3 linked regions of the Coturnix japonica genome follow. The main gene of each other region encodes a partner of the protein of the gene in region 2 in a complex. Links are inferred from orthologs where the notes say so. Each region holds a gene or a part of one and is shown on either strand. Other genes may lie near its edges. The genes, in order: ORMDL3, SPTLC2 and SPTSSA.

Evidence for each region.
Region 1: the proteins of SPTLC2 (region 2) and ORMDL3 are in contact, whole or in part, in a cryo-EM structure (PDB 7K0O), measured with the Homo sapiens proteins. The link is inferred for Coturnix japonica from reciprocal best matches to the Homo sapiens genes SPTLC2 and ORMDL3. Residues at the interface, in NP_004854.1 of Homo sapiens: Glu65, Thr66, Pro67, Met68, Ala71, Val72, Tyr75, Tyr86, Gln116, Phe118, Glu119, Asn120, Phe121, Tyr122, Tyr127, Trp134, Asp259, Glu260, Leu261, Asn262, Val267, Arg271, Ile279, Met320, Val495, Val496, Gly497, Phe498, Pro499, Ala500; in NP_001307730.1 of Homo sapiens: Met1, Asn2, Val3, Gly4, Thr5, Ala6, His7, Ser8, Pro12, Val16, Ser19, Arg20, Gly21, Ile22, Leu24, Ser25, Leu28, Phe63, Val67, Lys68, Gly69, Thr70, Pro71, Phe72, Glu73, Pro75, Gln77, Arg81.
Region 3: the proteins of SPTLC2 (region 2) and SPTSSA are in contact, whole or in part, in a cryo-EM structure (PDB 7K0K), measured with the Homo sapiens proteins. The link is inferred for Coturnix japonica from reciprocal best matches to the Homo sapiens genes SPTLC2 and SPTSSA. Residues at the interface, in NP_004854.1 of Homo sapiens: Leu73, Gly77, Val80, Leu81, Phe84, Leu87, Arg88, Leu91, Leu126, Arg129, Ile130, Tyr156, Met475, Pro476, Ala477, Lys478, Gly480, Ala481, Arg484, Glu485, Asp533, Leu534, Leu535, Gln536; in NP_612145.2 of Homo sapiens: Trp15, Tyr18, Gln19, Leu21, Leu22, Val23, Thr24, Ala25, Tyr27, Met28, Leu29, Glu30, Pro31, Trp32, Glu33, Val36, Phe37.

Annotation. Positions count from the first base shown.
Region 1 is NC_029542.1:3,980,452-3,986,552, forward strand, and holds the end of ORMDL3 (ORM1-like protein 3), read left to right. Parts: intron 1-383; coding exon 384-579; intron 580-1,224; coding exon 1,225-1,376; intron 1,377-1,467; coding exon 1,468-1,603; 3' UTR 1,604-4,391; downstream 4,392-6,101. UniProt on the Homo sapiens protein: Plays an essential role in the homeostatic regulation of sphingolipid de novo biosynthesis by modulating the activity of the serine palmitoyltransferase (SPT) in response to ceramide levels.
Region 2 is NC_029520.1:35,609,294-35,615,294, reverse strand, and holds part of SPTLC2 (serine palmitoyltransferase 2), read left to right. Parts: intron 1-1,479; coding exon 1,480-1,615; intron 1,616-2,351; coding exon 2,352-2,481; intron 2,482-5,653; coding exon 5,654-5,773; 3' UTR 5,774-6,001. UniProt on the Homo sapiens protein: Component of the serine palmitoyltransferase multisubunit enzyme (SPT) that catalyzes the initial and rate-limiting step in sphingolipid biosynthesis by condensing L-serine and activated acyl-CoA (most commonly palmitoyl-CoA) to form long-chain bases.
Region 3 is NC_029520.1:32,508,037-32,514,137, reverse strand, and holds the start of SPTSSA (serine palmitoyltransferase small subunit A), read left to right. Parts: upstream 1-2,839; 5' UTR 2,840-3,063; coding exon 3,064-3,166; intron 3,167-6,022; coding exon 6,023-6,101. Other genes in the region: EAPP (E2F-associated phosphoprotein), read left to right, coding at 1-236. UniProt on the Homo sapiens protein: Component of the serine palmitoyltransferase multisubunit enzyme (SPT) that catalyzes the initial and rate-limiting step in sphingolipid biosynthesis by condensing L-serine and activated acyl-CoA (most commonly palmitoyl-CoA) to form long-chain bases.

The sequences.
Region 1 (6,101 bases), on a different chromosome or scaffold from region 2:
GTAGCTGGCAGGAACATCCAGAGCATAATGTCAGATCTGGCGTGGACTCGCCTCCTGAGACCAAGAGCTGGACAGAACAGCAGCTTGCTTTGGTTTTCAGCTGTGGAAAGCAAAGCAGCAAAAGCACGAGGCTGAACATCAGGGAGAAGTCATTGCTTTGGGATCTGCTGTGCAAGGGACAGGCTGTATTATTTCCTTGGGAAACAGGCTGAGTGTTTTATGCAAGACCTTCCCTGATCTCTGTGCAAAGATATCCTGCATTACAGCAGCTCTTTCCTGTAATCCCTGATCATTGGTAAGACAGCTCTCAGCTCCCCAGTAAGCTGTGAAACATGGATGAAAACAGTGACCTGAGCACGGACCTGCCTCTGGTTTTGTTTCAGAGGGGTGAAAACAAGAGCCAATATGAACGTGGGAACAGCACACAGCGAGGTGAACCCCAACACCCGCGTGATGAACAGCCGGGGCATCTGGCTGTCCTACATCCTTGGCATTGGGCTGCTGCACGTCGTGCTCCTGAGCATCCCCTTCTTCAGCGTCCCCGTGGTTTGGACTCTTACCAACATCATTCACAACATGGTAAGCCAACCCCAGCTCAAAGAGGCAAAATACTTTGGAGCTGTGGCCATCAATTTCGTGTCCTTTATGTTAACATCTGAGAGCATTGCAGTGGTGAATCCATCCTTGGGATTGCTTGTCTTATCTCCAGTGATATAAAAATACATGAACACATAAACCCAGAGCTATGACTGCTGGGGGCTGAGTGCAGCACAGCCGCCTGCATTTCACCCAGCTCCTTGCCCTGCTCAACCTTTGGCCTTGGGAACAGAGGGGAGCTGAGGGCAGCGAGGGCTGTGTGTTAAAGACATGTCTGAGCCCAACATTGCTTATCTATAAGACAGCAACGCATCCTTTCTGCCTTTTAGACAGCACTGAGCATTGCTGCTGCACAGTGCAATAATCCCGAGTGCTGTAATCTCACAGCTCCCTTTGCTTACAGCCCAGACAGGCGTTGCTCTTAGCAGCCAAGGCAGAGCCAGCTCAGCTTCCTGTGGCTGCTTTGGGTTCACAGCGCTGGTGATGCATCCCTCTAGCGGAGCAAAGTGCTGCTGCAATCTTACACAGCCCCTCATTACTCTGCTCCCCTGTCTGAAGCTGAACCATTGCTGGGGGGGGGGGCTGTAACACCACTCACATCTCACCCTGCATTTGTGTTCTCTGCAGAGCATGTACATCTTCCTACACACGGTGAAAGGAACCCCTTTTGAGACGCCAGACCAGGGCAAGGCGAGGCTGCTCACGCACTGGGAGCAGATTGACTATGGCGTGCAGTTCACAGCATCCCGCAAGTTCCTGACCATCATGCCCATCGTGCTGTGAGTGCTGCAGGGGAGCAAAGCAAGCGGGAGGCAGAGCACACGGCGTGCTGTCATTCAGTGTCTCTTTGCATTCTCTCTTTCTCTGCAGGTATTTTCTAACCAGCTTTTACACCAAGTACGACCGGATACACTTCGTCATCAACACCATCTCCCTGATGAGCGTCCTGATCCCCAAACTGCCTCAGTTCCATGGAGTGCGGATCTTTGGGATCAACAAGTACTGAAGCAGATGGAGGAGCAGTGGAGCTCATGGAGGTTCCTCCTCCCTGCTCCCGTCCCCCCCCTGCCCACACACACTGGGATAGTTTCACAGCAGCTGTTTTAAACGCAGTACCCAATAGACATACACCGCATGCTGGATCCTCATGCCCAATAAACCTAAAGAAGCTCCAGAGTAGAGTTTAGCCAGGAGCAGGATGCTGGGCTTCTTTTATTCCAGCATCATCATTAGATGCAGATACACCGAGACTCCAAGGTACAACGAGGATGAATCGTGGGAAGGTTTTCATCTATCCCAGATGCGATGAGAACAGGGGTGAGGGGGAAAGCTTTTAGTGCTGGTACTATTGCTGTGGTAAATGCACTTTAACATTACTTCCCTTTCTGAAGCTTTGGTGCTTTAAAGCGATCCGCGGGGAAATGGAAAGGGACGCAGCCAAACTCTCCCATTATTTGATGGTTTCGGGTTTTGGTTCCATTTCTTGGGCAGAGGAAGAGAAGGGAGGGGAACAGAATGACACAGTTTGATGTCGAAAGCTTTTATGGCACCGAGGAAGGAAGCTGTTCTACTCAAAGCAGTAGAGGAAAGAAGAAACAGGCTGCGCTTTGAGACGACTGTCTGCTCCCTTCGGAACCATCCATCTGGGTCAGGGGAAGGTCCCAACTTGCAGCTGTTACTTCCAGCTTGGGTAACTTTGCCTCCCAACCCAAACTGCTCAGCTTGGGGATGAAGGGCTGAGGTGCAGCTCATTATAACGACTGAGGTGCCTGGGAGGAACCAAAGACTGATGGATTCAGACCATGTGAGAGCTGAACGGCTGCTTGAGAGCTGGGTGGCAGCGATTTGAGTTCTCCTCCTCCATCCATCCCCTCGGTCTCCTCAGCCCACGTAGCTGTTAATGAGATCTGCCAGCTCTCCAATGAACTCGGCATGAAAACCTCCACGAAGCACCGCAGACCCCCAGGGCTGATGGCTGCCAATGGGGAGGGAGCAGAGCAGCACCGAGGAGCAGCACCAGCAGCACTGACCTGCCCCAGAGAAGGGTGCTCAGGTCACCAAAGACAACAGATGGTTTTGTATAGGAATAAACTCAAGCCTTCATCCCCCTCCAACCACCGCTGGAACAAGGGAGGGTTGTGGGGCTGCAGGTTTGGGTTTCCTGGCTGAGATGCTTTTTTCTTGCAGGTTTTGTGCTGGATGAAATGTGGTTTTGCTGATGCTTTCCCTTCCACCAGCCTGCATTCTTTTGTTGTTGTCTCAGTGCTTACGTTGTCTCACGTTGGCAATGGTGAAGGCATTTTAAATGTGCTGGGTTTGTTCTTAATTAGCCAAGTCTGGCTTGAGAAGTCAAAGTGGATATTGAGTTCTGTATGAGGGTCTGGGCATAGGGCATAGAGAAGCTCCAAGATCTACTATATAAGATCTGGTAGTACTCCATGCATAGTATTAGGCTTTATTTCTATCCCGTACTTAGCAGGCTGCTGCAGTGAAGGGAGAAAACAGTTAACGTAGCTCAGAGCCATGCTGGGATGCATGGGGTCATTATTTAACAGTTGTTGAGCAATGGGAATGTTTTAAGTGCAAAGGAAGCCTTGAAGAAGGTGGAAGAAGAGCCGGGTTGGGATTTGAGCGCTGATCTCCAGTGAGAGTTTGGCAGAAGTTTGGGGTACCCGACAGGGTGGGGGTTAAACCACCACGACACAAGTGCTGCTGCTTGAGTTACGGTACTACAGACCCTAAAGCTGACGAACTCTTTAAGCTACCAGACAATGACTTTGGGGGGGGGGGGGAATACTTCATTTTCTTTCTTTTTTCTTCATAACAAACCTATTTTGTTCATCAGTGCTTTGGAAATTAGGAAGGGATGAACAGCACCAGGGCCTGGGATGCTCACGGACACAGGGCAGCCCAGCAGGTCTGAATGTCTGACAGCACATGAACCCATACCCCAGTGGTAAACCTCCAGGAGAAGAGACACTACTCCTTTAGGCATGATATGAAAGGGGGAAATAAAAGCTTTCTTGCAGCAAAAGTAGTTGTTATATTGAGGGTGCTTTGGCTTTTAACCTCGACTCCCATCCATAGGATGTATTGAGTGTACAAGTTACCCCAGCTCAGAGCAGTTTTGGGGCTCAGCTCAGTGTTGCTGCTGGGGTTTGGAGCCTGCATTATTTGTGCTGTTGGCTGACACGACGGACACCTGATTCTGTTCTGCTCCATGAAAGAGCATCAATAAAACAACATGGACTGGAATTACAGACTTCTGGCAAAGGCAGGTTTTCAAGCCCTGAGTCCAGAAGTTCTCATGGGACAAAGCCTTCATTATGATGGTAAACTTTCCCCACTTTGTTTAGCTGGAGTGGTTAACATAGAATTACACAGGTGTCCCCATTGGGGTTACATGGCAGATAGTACTGGCCCTTGATAAAGTGGGCAGCAGTTGTGTTACCATGATGGATGCATTGCTGTTTCTTACTGGGACTTCCATGTCTCTACCATTGAGTGGCATATATTTTAAGCATGCAGGCCTTTGCATTGCCTCGTCCTCCTTGGATCAATCTCAGCTCCATTAGTTTGGTGGGGCTGGTTTTGTTTGAACACAACGTTCTGCCATCGGACGGAGTTTTAGGGTTTGGGTTTGCTTTGTTGGTTTCTTTCTTCCAGCAGCCCTTCCTTTTTGCTGTGGATGCTGAAGTCTCGTGTAGGGAACTTTCTAAAACAAAGTGTGAATATTTTTATTACTCCTTTGTAAAGCCTTCTAAGAGAAACTAATAAAGTGAGTATTCATGTAATAACCAGCCTTCAGCTCCTTGCATTCCCACATGGGCACTTCTGCTCATTGATGCTCACTGTGGCCGCAGCCCAACCAGGATGTGGCAGAGCTGGAACCTCATGGACTGCAGAGCTGGAGGGGCCAGAAGGGACCCCCCCAGTCCAACTCCAACCCCCAGCTGAGCATCACAGAATTGCTCAGGTTGCAAAAGACCTCCAAGGTCATCAAATCCAACCACAACCCAACCGTGCTACGTTAACCAGCACGCCCTGCTCCTCATCCCTGCATAACTGCCAAACAACCACAACAGAAGCAAAGTCCTACAGCCCAGGAACAAGGTACACAGGGATCGAGTGCAAAGTGCCCACAGCTGCTGGAACAGCACGACAGCAGAAGTGACGGCGAGAAAAGTTCAGGGCTGGGGTTATATCAGTTCTTCTTTCCTTATCGGGCAGGCAGTTCCGGGCTGGCAGGAGGCTCACATAGCAAAGCCAGTAAGTACAGGAGGCAGTGCAAGCATTGCAAGCACTGCAGGCATTGCAAGCACTGCAAGCATTGCAAGCATTGCAAGCATTGCAAGCACTGCAGGCACCGCAACCAGCTGGTCCCACTCCTGCAGCACAGAGCCCCACATCCCCCCACAGGCTCCAGGTAAGAGCTGCCCCACGGATGGGGGGAGGGCTGCCCCACTCTGCCACCCCACTCTTCTCTCCCACTGTCCAAAGTCCCTCCCCAGCTCCTCCTGGGACTTGAGAACTTTGAGACTTAAGGCTGAGTGCTCCCACAGCCCAAAGTCCCCCATTATCTGAATCAGAGCTGGAGCACAGACCCACGGTTCCCCTCTCCACCCATTCCCTTCTCTTCTCTCCTTCCTCCCCCATTTTGTCTTTCTTTCTCCTCATAAAGTTAAGCAACCGAGGTTTATTTCAACTTCCTATAAAGTCACAGTTTATCCTCACAGCTCTGACAGACAGAACTTTGAGAGTGCCAATACTTTTACAGTCAGCTTTAATGAGAACCGGTTACGTCTGCATTTGGATCCGAGTGTCCTTAATGGAACCAAGAGGGTTTGTGAATCCGGTCACCCTCCCCGGGCAGGACGTGACAATGTGCTCCTTTAGGGAGGGAGGAGAGCAAACTGTTGGTGTTGAATGGGATCCATTCCTTCAGAGCACGACACAGTGAGGCAGCAGCACACAGAAGGCACAGCACAGCACAGCACAGCACAGCACAGCACAGCACAGCACAGCACATCTTCCTCCTTAGTTAAAGGAAGCTGCTTTGCTCGTAAATCAAAGCTTATCTCACTTCTACTGACGTGTCACTGAAGGCCAATAAGCAGAACCAAAGTTCTACTTGGAGAACTAATAATGCAACAGCAGTTCCCATCCGCCCCATAGGGATGCAGGGAGAGGAGTGGGGATGTTGGGGTCTGGGGGGGGTTGGTGTCCATTAATCCCTCCCCAAAATGCTGAGGAACATTCTGGCACAGAACGAGTGCTCCTCCTTCCTCAGCCCATCACCTCCATCACTTTCGCTTCCTTAAAGACTTTGACCAAATCGTTTTCCCAACATTTGGTTTCAAAACAACAGAGCTCTGCCGGGCACCAACACGGGGAGAAATGCAGAAGCACAACGAAGCAACAACATCAGAACAGCAAGAGGTTGCTCAAGATCTGCTTTCTTGAAGCCTCTATGAGATCAATGCATTCATTAAAGCACTGGGGAT
Region 2 (6,001 bases):
AAGCTGGGGTATTTGAATAACCAAGTCATAAGTTCAGGAAACATAGGCTTAATCTCAGCTAGAGGGTCTGATCTAATGTGAGCCAGTTATAAAGTAAGCTTCATACACAAAATGCATTTTAATGAAGTCTTGCTGGTTTGGGGTGAAGAAGAAAAATTAAGCTTCTCTAGAAACTCTTGGGGATAAAAGATTAAGGAAGCAAGCTGTTAATGGAGGAGAAAGGATGGTCTTAAATGGCAGCAAGTACAACTAAAAATACCAGCTCCTGCCCACAAATGACAGACCGAGTTCTGCAAACTTAACAGGTTTCATTCCTTTTTCTTACACTTCTTTGATGGGATTTTGCCTTTGATTGCGTGGTGGTGGGTGGAATGTCTGATACTCTTGGCTACAAAAACTGTATAGGTTCTTAAAACTACATTTGTTCTGGCTTGGAGCATAGCTATGTGGGTGTGAATGTTTCTTTGAGGGTTGGTGTTCCTTTTGAGTAATCAGCTTATGTTATCTGCTGCTTTAAAGGGGAGCTATTAATATCTAGCAGCCAACTTCACCGTGGCATACATCAGCACTGCTGTAGATTTAGTGCTAAAGTATATGAATTACTCATTTGGTGAAGGTGGTGTCTGGATGATCAGTTGTTGTCTCGTCAGTGGCATAGTGTTTAATCTCTTAAGCACGTTGGAATACTTGTTAATCAGAAATGCATTATTGTCAACTGCTACATTGTGCTGGGTTAGAATTCAGCTGATAAACAGGTTGTTCCATGCATATCTGAGTAGCTGGAATATTTGGATTTTACTTGTGGTCTAATGTCTTGTGTATGTATTTTACCGAATGTCCAAAGAATGAGTTCGGAATTGGCTGATCACATGATAAATGGGCTGCTGCTGTTTGTGCATAATGAGCTGGATTATCAGAGGTAATCTGTTTAATTTAAGCCCAGCTCGCTTTTGGTGAGAAAGGTTATGGAACAGCTGCTTGATCAGTTCAGCTGGCAAATCTGAGAGGAACGTGGTAATTCCATCAATACAGACAGGCAGGAAAAATATATGGTGAGAAGCTTCAGCTGACTGATATTTATTAGCTATTCAAACTGCAAGCAAACCATTCTGTAACATACGGGTGTCAATTAATTTTGAGCAAATTTTGCAGCTTGTTTAAAAGCAGCCTACTGTACTGTTTTGCCAGCTTTGTATCTCTTGATTATAAATTCAGATATTGAAAAATTAGGGGGGGTGGATTTGACAGTTAAGCTTGTCCTTCTCCGTCCAGCAGCAGCCTTATCAGAAAGTGAGTAATTAGTCTTGATTAATCTTGATTAAAAGAGAAAGAAGAAACTGAATTCTAGTTTGCATTTTAATTGTTCTGTTAGCACAAGTTGCACATTTTTGGTTTGTACCTAAGTGAGAAGAGATCTACTGCTGCAGTTACATGTGTGGTTTATGACCATTGTGTCTATTGTCTTAATTTCTCTTCTAGGGAGAGAGTGTGTTCAGCAGTTAGCAGAGAACACAAGGTATTTCAGGAGACGACTGAAAGAGATGGGCTTTATCATCTATGGAAATGAAGATTCCCCTGTTGTGCCTCTGATGCTGTACATGCCAGCAAAAATTGGGTAGGTCCATCTACTTTAAAGTTAGTATGCTATAAGAATACTAAGACTTCTCTAAATGTAAAGGAAGATTTTTGTTTTGAAACATGGTGTGTAGTGGCAAAGCTTGTTCTTATTCACATACAAAGAGATTTTTGCATCTTTCTTAAAAAATTTTGGCGTTAGATGAGATTTGTTTTTTTTGTTTTTTGTTTTTGTTTTTTGCATTTGAATGTTCCCTTGATAAGCACTTAAAAAAGTGGTACATCCTGTGGCTCTGTAATGTGCCTCAATTGAATTTAATTGGTAGAAATAAACAATTTTGAAATAGCAGAAACATTTGCTTTGGGATGTTACAGCAGGGGGCATTCCTCATTGAGTCAAACTTCTGAGCCTTAGTTCCTGTTTCCTATCAGAAGGATTTTCAAGCTTAGGTTACAAATCCATTTAGAAAGAGCTTGCCAAAAGACCAGCCTCTGCCACATATAATCTTTCAGCTTTGCTAGAACTTAATACAGTGAGAGCTTTTGAGGAAGACCACCTTGGGGTTGAATTAAAGGGAGCCTTTGTAATTAAACGTTCTGCCTCCATGAGAAAGAACTGGAAGCTCCAACTTGTGGTGTTACAGGCTTGTTTAACAAAGGCGTGTATAGGTAAACATACTAAGACCTTTGTGCTGTCACTGCTCTTTCTCTACAGGTATGATTCTGACCAGTTTTCCTGGATAATGTTTTTGATGTTGGGTTTTTTTTTTTGGCAGTGCGTTTGGGCGTGAGATGCTGAAGCGGAACATTGGTGTTGTGGTTGTGGGCTTCCCTGCAACTCCCATCATTGAGTCCAGAGCCAGGTTCTGTTTGTCTGCAGCTCATACCAAAGAGATGCTTGATACGGTAAGTGTCTCATCTCTTTCTAGCTTGTGTCTTCTGTAAGCAGAGATAATTCTAGTTTTTATGGGTTCTTTTGTGGGTTTTTTGTTGTTTTTTTTAGAATGGTTCAGTGCTTGGTATGCAAATTAATTAAACCTAATGTTCAGAGTTGTCTGTAGTAGTGTGGATGCCATCTCCAACAAATCAGAACAGTCGTCTTCAGTAAATTCCAGGGGCTTTTTCCCATTTCAGATATGCAAGTGGGGTGGTTTTGTTCCCTTAAGACACTGTTTTTTTCCCTTGTTAAATAGGAACATAGTGACATTCTCAATTAGCTCTGTGAAAGATCATGGTTGATTGAAAGAGGTGCTCAAGGAAGGACAAGAGCATGATCAGGGGAACTGCAGGCTGGACAACCTCACCTTGATCCTTGGGAGGATGATGAAGAAGAATCATTCCTTGAAACTATTTCTAAGCTAGTTACAGACAAGAAGGTGGTTGGGAGTAGTTATTGTAGAATTATGAAGGAGAAATTGTGCCCAGGTATGATCAGGTGGAGACGCTTTGTAACGTGAACAGCAAATAGGAGTTGTAGTTTAAGCAAACGCTTACCAGCATATCAACAGCAACAACAAAAATGTAGTTTTAAGCCTTTAATCCTTAGTTTCCACACAATTTCTACATCAGTAGCAGGAAATGACCCTTCTTGATTTCATGTTTGCTAGGAAGGGTAGTGTGGCAGTTATGTGCACCGTTTGGTATGTATATCAGGTGCAGCTCTGTATCAGTAGAACTACCTGAAAGTTTTGTGTGTTTAGCTCTGAGGACTGACTCACTTCTAGAGTATATCTCTAGATGCTAAAGGCTCCAAACCAAGAGAAATGCTTGTTTAATACACTAGGGTTTGTCTGCCTAAGAAAATTAATCCAGGACAAAGTGTATGAATTTTGAAGTGAATGAAGAAATGTTGATTTTTCGCTTGGAATGTGAAGGCTTTGTTCCAAGTTGGCATAAACTGCTTTAAAGTTTGAAGTGACTGCATGCCCTGAACCCAGAACACTGGCAAGTGGAGTTAATAAGTAGCGAGTCTTTGTGTCAGTGACTGTGTTCTGCTTTTCTGCTGACACAGTGAAACAGAATCAGTTTCAGGCAGCCAGTAATTAAGACAACGGTCAGATCGGTTCCCCCTGCTGAACTGTGGCAACAATATCCAAGAGGAAAAAAAAATGAAGTGAGCAGAAGTGGAGAGAGCTGGCACAGTTTCCACAAGTCAGTGGTACAGAGAACTTGGTAGCCATTCCGTGTGTGCATGGATACTAACCAATGCTGTTATGGCATTTTTTGTAAACAAAATTAATCTGAGTACAGAGCATGGGGAAGTTTGTCTTATGAATACTGATATTTGTAATGCTTCCTTGTTCTTATTAAATAAAATCATGTGATGGGGAACAGTTCTCAGTTACAATTTTAACCATTTTATGTAAATAAAACTTCCTTGCCTGAGAATATTTGGCTCAGGATCAGAGTGTGGTCCCTCATAACCTGCATCCCTGTGGGTTGGTGCTTTCTTCTTAGTGATGAAAAATATGTATCACACTCTCTTGAAATTGGAGTTCACCAATGCCATTTCCTTTGTAGTCTTTGTTAGTCACATGGTTCTTTTTGTTTTAAATTAATAAAATCCTAAATCTGCATTCAAGAATAACAGTTAACAGACTCTTTCAACAGAAATTAACCTTAAATTGTTTCCATATGGGGTCTTTACTTTAAGCTCTGGCAAACTGTGCCCACGCTCTTGTTTGGTTTTGTTTTTATTGAGGTCCAACTTCTGGTCTTGTCATTCCCCCAGATTTTAGAATGGAGAGGTTCTTGCTGCCAGATATAACAAGCATGAGGGGCTGTTGTTTAAAGAAGTAGGAACTTGGACTGTTCTTTCAGGAAGGAAAAGCATGTAGGGATATTAGCCTCCATCTGCCAGCTATTCTCAAGAGACAGGCATTTGACCCAGAACATGTTAAAACTGGAGTGTTGTTGTTGAATTAGTGGCAATCTGAAGGAATGCTGAAAGTTTCTATCTGAACAAATCTGAAATGTAAGGGAGTGCAGACTGCCAACCTTGGAGTTCAAAAATCTCACTTAAGTTGAAAGTCGTCTTCTATATGTATATTTGTCACTCACCATGGATGAGATAGATAATTAGCATGACATACTGTTGCACATTTGTCTGCAGCAACTGGCTTATTTTTAGCACCTTGTTCCAGGGGTGGTCTCCAGAGAGGTAGAAGCTTAAGGTCTGACTTCTAACAGATTCTACTGTGAGCCAGCGTCTTATCAAAGAGATTGCATGATTATCTGAGCAGGGACTTTCCTCATTTCTTATGCTAGCAGGTGCTTGATTTCTAGAGAACTTCATATAATTAGCATTCGGATCATACGATGAAAGGTTTTGCGAGCTCGTTATCAGTGCTCATGACCACCAGTAGGCTAGGTGTTCCTCTATGGCCACAGTTAGAGAGAGCTTCTTTCCAGGTGGAGAAAAATGCTTAGGATCCTACCAGAATGGCTTTTCATTCCTTGACAAAAACCATTGTGTACAATGCTTATTCCATCTCTAGTTGTACTTGGGCAACTCAATCTAATCAAATACAGATATTTTAAAATGCATCAGGAAAAGCTGCTAGCATAAAATAGGGTTTTTTTCCACTGTCTTGTAATATAAAAAGGTATGGTATTTCAGTAGTACCAACACATACAGTATTTTCATACTGTAAAAAAAGGTGCATCAAACCTCCAAGTACATTTTCTTGTTTCAGCTATATTAACCCCTTCCCCCCCACACCCTCTGTCCCAAAAAGAGTGGAATGCTTTTCTCAATTGATCTGTTGTATGGACAGGCATGGCTTTAATTGGGCTGACAGTGAAAATAAGGGTAGTATTGCTGGCTGCTATATTCGTGCTTTGGAGTTGGAATAGTCAGGTATGTGCAGTCACTCTTGGTGAAATTACTTGTGCCACTCGCTTGGTCTGGAGGCTGACAAATATTAAAACAACAAACAAAAATGTTGTGTATACCTGAAGCTACATAATCCTAGTCTGGTTAATTTCCACTTTTTCTGTGGGCATGTAAAAAGGAAGATGTGCTGATAGCTTCCTTGCATCTGTTTCCCCTGCTGATACACTGTGGTCTCTTTCTCAGGCTTTAAAAGAAATCAATGAAGTTGGGGACCTTTTGCAACTGAAATATTCCCGTCACCGTTTGGTACCTCTCTTGGACCGGCCATTTGATGAGACTACATATGAAGAAACAGAAGACTGAGCACTCCGTATGCCTTGGTGGGAGGGACACACCCGATGGGACACTCTGTGGCATGCAGGCCACAGTCTGTGAACAACACACTTATGACTGCTTAGTGTAAAAGACATTTCCTCACAATACTGAAGTGGCCACATCAATTCTAAATGGCATTTTGTAAATAGAGAGAGGAGAAGCTAAAAAAACAAAACAACAGAAAACCTTTGATTCATGTGTCTTCAGGGTCTGGCC
Region 3 (6,101 bases), about 3.1 Mb from region 2:
TGTTTGTGATGAACTGCTTTGTTAACAAAGAGGAAATCCTGAAATACAGAAAGAAGGAAAAGAAAAGAAACAAGAAGAGGAAACACAGTGAAGAAACTACTACTCCTGTACAGTCAAATCAAGAAGAGGAGGAAGTGTATCATCCAGTATTATGTACTGAGTGCTCAACTGAAGTGGCAGTGATGGATAAAGATGAAGTGTTTCACTTCTTCAATGTTCTAGCCAGCCACAGCTAATATGCAAAAGCAGGAAAAAAAAGGGCTCTGTTTAAGACTGTGTGAAGTATCAGAAGTGCAGGCACATCCATCTTTTTAAAATATGTTCTCTTAAATGTACATTTCTATCAGATAGCTTTATAGTGGTTGGATTTCTGACACTATTCCTGTATTCCTTTTTTATGAAGGGAATCCTGTTAACTGCTTGCATTTGAGAGCGATATTCTTCTACACTGTCAGGTGGTCGCGTTGTCAAGGATTTAATGTTTTGTAAATACAGTGTAAAATCTGTGTATTATGATCATTCCCTGTGTATGTACTGTCCAGTACCTCAGTGTGTATTAAAACTACTGCTTAGAATAAATACTGTATCAGCTGGTTCCCCTTAGCTGCATTGGTTGTTTCTATGGAATGGAAACTATTCTATTCAATGGAACTGTTAAACTTGGTAGCTCTCAGTGAGGATTTTGGGCTTAAGACAAGATTTCTATATCATTTTTACTACCTATGGTCTGACTGGCACATTGGCAGAAATGATGCCATCTGAAGTGGGATAGACTATTACTACATGCTTTAAGCCTGGAGGCATATAGGGAAAATTTTGCTTAGTAACACTGTGGAGGAGCAGATGTAATGGAGGCTGTACTCTGCTGTAGGGCATACTGGCCTCAGTGCAAACTGTCTTCACAGTCCAGGTGATGCATGAAAGCTATTTAGTGTCAGGGTAAGATTGTTGCACTGAGCTGCTGAAAACAGGAGAATGAGGATGTTGTTCAGGGGCTCAAAAGTCAGTGCAGGTGGTAGCAGGAGGAGCAATTGTTGATGGCAATTCTTAAGCAGGAGTAAGATGAAGATAGTGAAGAATGAGACACTCACTATACGGAGGAATAGTGTCCATTTATTAAGGGGCTAACTAGCAAAAGCTGCCTTCTGAGTATGCACCAAATTGAAACGGTGTAAGGACCTGGACAAACAGCTGGTGGATGTGGCAGGAAATGGTGAAGCTGGCATGCTTCCACATTACCTTTCTTCTTATCTCAAGTGCTTGCTGCTGCTTCTTGCTCGCCCGAATTGCAGTTCCTGTTTTCATGAGACATGGGAGCAGGAGAGACTGGGAGATGTTTGCTTCATATCGATACTGCTCTTGCAGCTGTGCAAGGCTGTAGTGCTTTAGATGTGCTAAAAACCCCACCTGTCCTTGGACTTCATGTGCTTATTTAGAAAAGTAGTTTTCATCATGGCTGCAGATCTTTCAAGCAGTGTCAACAACACAAGACTCCTCCAGTGTCAATTACAACAAGCAACAGCTGTCTTGGGTAGGGGCAACAGCTGCTGTAGCCAGCTATGTGGGGGTATTGAATCGTATAAATACGCTCGTTTCTTCTTGTGCTGAAATAAATTGATCTAGATATATTATGTCTGAATGTATTCTAGCTGGATTAAAACCCGTATCAGATCTTTCCACATAAATTACGACAGTGTTTGGTTGTCTCTGCCAGCTAGTTTTCTTTTGCACAGTTATCTCCTGGTGCTGTAGGTGCAATTCACAGCTCTGTAAATAATTAATATGAGCACCCTGCTGTGACTGTATTTCCTTGCTTTCCACTGTGCTAACAGCACTGGTTAAATTAGGTGTGGGGCAGCTGCAAGACTAGGGTTGCACTAGAACTGACATAACGTAAAGCTGTTTTACTGAGCAGGATGATGGCAGAGGGCTGACAGCAGTTTCTCATCTGTGGTGCACACCTAGCATGTGCATGAGGCCTTTCCTGGTGGCCTGGCTCCAGCACACAGGGGTTGGTTGTACCTTGTACTTAATCGCGATGCTTGACTTCCCCACGTGTTGCTTTTCACTGGGTTTGTGTTCTAACTACTGCATTTGAAACTCAGTTGTCCACGTAAGCTGCCAAAAGTCAAAATAGCAGTTACAAGTTTCTAACACTGAAGCATCTGGCCCCAAACACCTCTCAGAAGGGCAAAGTTAGCAGCCATTATGGTAAAAAGTTGATCTTTTTGCCTCTTCCGCTGTTCCTGTGGGACTGATCTAGTCAGTCCATGTTGAAAGACTGCACATTTACCTGAGCAGTGGTTTTGGGTGGGCTTTGCCCTGAATACTAAAGGTACTGAAGCCGCCTGCAGAACCCTTTAACACATATGATGAATCACGTTGAACGCAATCTTCAGGTGATCTCTAATACCCAGTATGTCCATTTAAATGAAACAGGATGGGAGAAAATTGGGTGCAGCAGTCTTCCAGATATGACTCAGATCTGCTCACATGGTGACGGACAATCGTGTGATGTGATGTGATCTAAGCAGGATCAGGCTCGCGCATACAGCTGATTTATTCTGTAGGGGAAAATCAACGCGTTCTGCTACGGGGACTGAGAGTGGCTGGGTTTTGTAGTATGTGAAGCGAGCTTCTTCTGCGATCCGCAGAGACTGTTTTGTACGGGAATACAGGCAGCCTCACGGCCATTGTAACCGACTCCAGGACTGACTGTCAGTACCGTACACGCGCTGTGAGGACGGAGAGGAGACGGAGCCGAGTGTCCGCTCCCTCCGCCCCGCTTCCAGGGGCCGTGCGGGGCAGCCTCGGCGTTCAGTGTCCGCTCCCAACTCCGTCCGCTCCGGGGCGCTGCCGACCCGACCCGCGCCCCGCCCGCCTCGCAGCGCCTCCATTTCGGGAGGCCGCAGCCCGGGGCCGGGCCTCGCGCGGTGGGGCCAGTCGGCAGCGACGGCGGAGGGAGGCGGGTCCCGGGCAGCCACCGCCCCCGTCTCCGCTCGGCCTGGGCCCGGCGCAGGCGGCTCGGGGCCGGCGGCGGGTGGGGAGAGCGCGGTGCGCGCCATGGCGCTGGGCTCGGCCTGGAAGCAGATGTCGTGGCTGTACTACCAGTACTTGCTGATCACCTGTAGCTACGTGCTGGAGCCCTGGGAGCGCACCGTCTTCAGTATCCTTCTGCCGGCGGCGCGTGGCCTGTCGGGCGGGTAGCTCTGGGGCCGGGTGGGATGTGGACGGTGTCCCGGGGCTGTACCGAGGGCGGCGGGGAGCTGGGAGCGGTGTGCGGGGCTGGCGGGGCTGCAGCCGGTACGGGCGGAGCGGGGCCGGAGTCAGGGAGAGCCTTAGTGCCGGCGCGTGCCTTCTGTCACGGGCATCTGCACGGTCCGACCGCCTCTGCCCGGGGCCAAGTTTACATCCTGCCGTGCTTTCTCCTCAGCCTTTCTTTTATCATTATTATCTTTTTCTTATTCTTTTCTCTCCCGTAGAATTGCGGTAGTTATTTTTCCCCCCTGACTCTTCAGCTGGAGCACCATGGTTTCTGCTCAGCACAGCTCTTGAGTTAATTCTGTTTTGTCGTCTCGTGGAAAGTAAATGTGTGTGCTGGGGAGCTTTGGTTTGGGCTGCGCTGTGTCACACGCTGTTTGTTAGAAGAGCATTTAATCCTTGAGCCGGTGAATTTGTTTGTCTCTTCTGGAGTGGAAGAACTGGATAGATGCTAATGTGAGGCTTCTGTATGCAGACTACTTGTAGGCAAGCTTCCTCAACCAGCTCTGTCAGACTGGCACTGCGGTGTCCTAAGGGCTGTTATTTATTACCAGTGGTGTTCTTTGCGAGCGTGGCTGGTTTGATCTTGAGTTAAAATGATGTCTCATGAACGACCCTGAGCCATCTCCAGTTTATGCTGAGAGGCACAGAGACAAACCAGCCAAAACATTAACACTGCTTGCACCCATCAAGAAGGGTTTAATGGTGAAAAGCTGCTTTTCCTGGTTAGTTGTAAAGGAACTCATTATATAAGAGTGGTTTCCCAGGTTGTAGCTGGTTACAGGTTGCAGAGAGTTTTCTAATGTACACTTGGTAAAAGTGGAGTCATTACTATTTTTTGGCTTTCTCATTCTTACAGATGCACAGTGCTCAGCTATTGAGGCAGCGGTTTTTAGTTTCAGAGTACTCTGTTTCTGATTAGAACACCCAAATCTGTTTATGCTGTGTCTGTATCACTGAAAACACTCCATTTTTGCTTTCCTTACAACTAGATCAGTTATAAACAAATATATGTATTTTCCTTTCATATTAACTGGACAGCTTCTTAACTTGGACAAGGCATTTAAGTAGTTGACAGATGTGTGTGCATGTTTATAAAGTGCTTGTTTTGCAGTGAAGTGATCGTTGCTCCACTTAAAATAGTGTCCTGAGTATCCCAATATATTGTTTGCAGCATCAGATGAGCAGAACTGTCCCTGTCCTCAGAGGGAATGCTGTCACTGCTGGTGGGCCAAGTCTGCCAGGCACTGTGGTGCCTGGACCACACTGGACCACACAGGCACATGGCCTTGGAGCTGGCAGTCCAGAGACTTGCTGTGTGTATTTCCAGCTTATTGTATTCAAGAAGTGTAGGGAACACTGATACTGGAACGTAGATGTAGCATTGACCTTCATTTTAGTGTCTTGCATTGTGCAATCTTCTGGGACTAAAAATACACCCAGAAGCTGGCATGCTCTAATAAGCACCACATCTACCTCTTGGGGAAGTCAGTTACAGAGCCCTTGTTGCACACATGCTCTGGTTACTTTTCTCTAAGTTACAGAGCATGCACGGCTCCTCTGATTTCACCTGTGGAAACCTGAGTACTGTTATCAGTGTTATCGTGCTTGTTAATCTTCAGAGCTCTATATAGTGTTTCTGAATCTCTGCAGGTTATTGTTGAGAGTACAGCTCTTGAATTTCTAAAGTCTTAAACTTTGAGTGGCCTAATCTTTGAGTAGTCTGATGTTATAGTTTCTGTTAGATAAAGCCTTGAGAATCCTGGAGTATGACAAAGGTCTAGTTGTATGTTTACATTGTAAGCCATCTGACTTCTCTGACTTTCCATTTGGAGTTCAGCTGAATGAAGGGGTCATTGCTTAGCAGATGGCTTCATGTGAGATTTGTTTTGCAGCTCTGCCATAGTAAAATACCAGCAAGCATATATTTATTTACACGCACAGATTTATTCCAATCATGCTGATCCTATGAGGCATTGGGACTGAAATGTCTGGAAAGCTGTGTGTCACAATGTTGCCCATATTTTTCATTACCCTTGCAGCCTATTTTTTTTCCTAAGTGCTGTCAACACTTTAATGTAGCTCCTTGCCTGTGATAAAAGGTCTGAGCTGATAGAGCAGCAAACCAAATAATGTAGTGACTTAAAGCCTAGAGAACACTGTTTTCCTGGCTTTATGTTTGCAGTACAACTTTCATGCCAGATGTTTTGTGAACGATACATTAAATGTATTATGTCATTCTGTTCTGGTAAGTTGATACCAACATTTAATGCTTTCTGCTTAATAGTGAGTAAGCTGTGCACAAATATCAGCTCTTACTCAGTACAGGTACTCATATAATCCTTCTGTTTTTGCCTCTCCTTTTTTTTTTTCCTGATGGTTGACTTTTCTGCCTGACTGATTGTGCTGGCTACTGCAGGTATTGCTTAAGACCTTGGAGGATGTATGCGTAATTCATATATCCCCAGTGCCCATTTTCAGTCCCTTCTTCCTTCCCACGCTTCCGTCTGTACTGTTGTGTCTATGACAAGGCAGTGGATATCTTACAAAGCATCCTGCTGTAATTCACTTTATCACCCCTACCCATGCTCTGTTTTTCAGTGTTCTGTTGCTTCTTCCTACAGCTGTAACTGTTGAATACAGTTAGTACTTAAGATTTACAAATATAATGTTATGAGATAGGAAAAATGGTAGTGCTGTGCTTATATGACTTGTAATGTACTTCTGGTTTCAAATGCTTTCTTCCTTACCTGTCGTTCAGATTCAATGCTAGTTTCCATTGTTGGAATGGCACTGTACACGGGCTATGTGTTCATGCCTCAGCACATCATGGCGATATT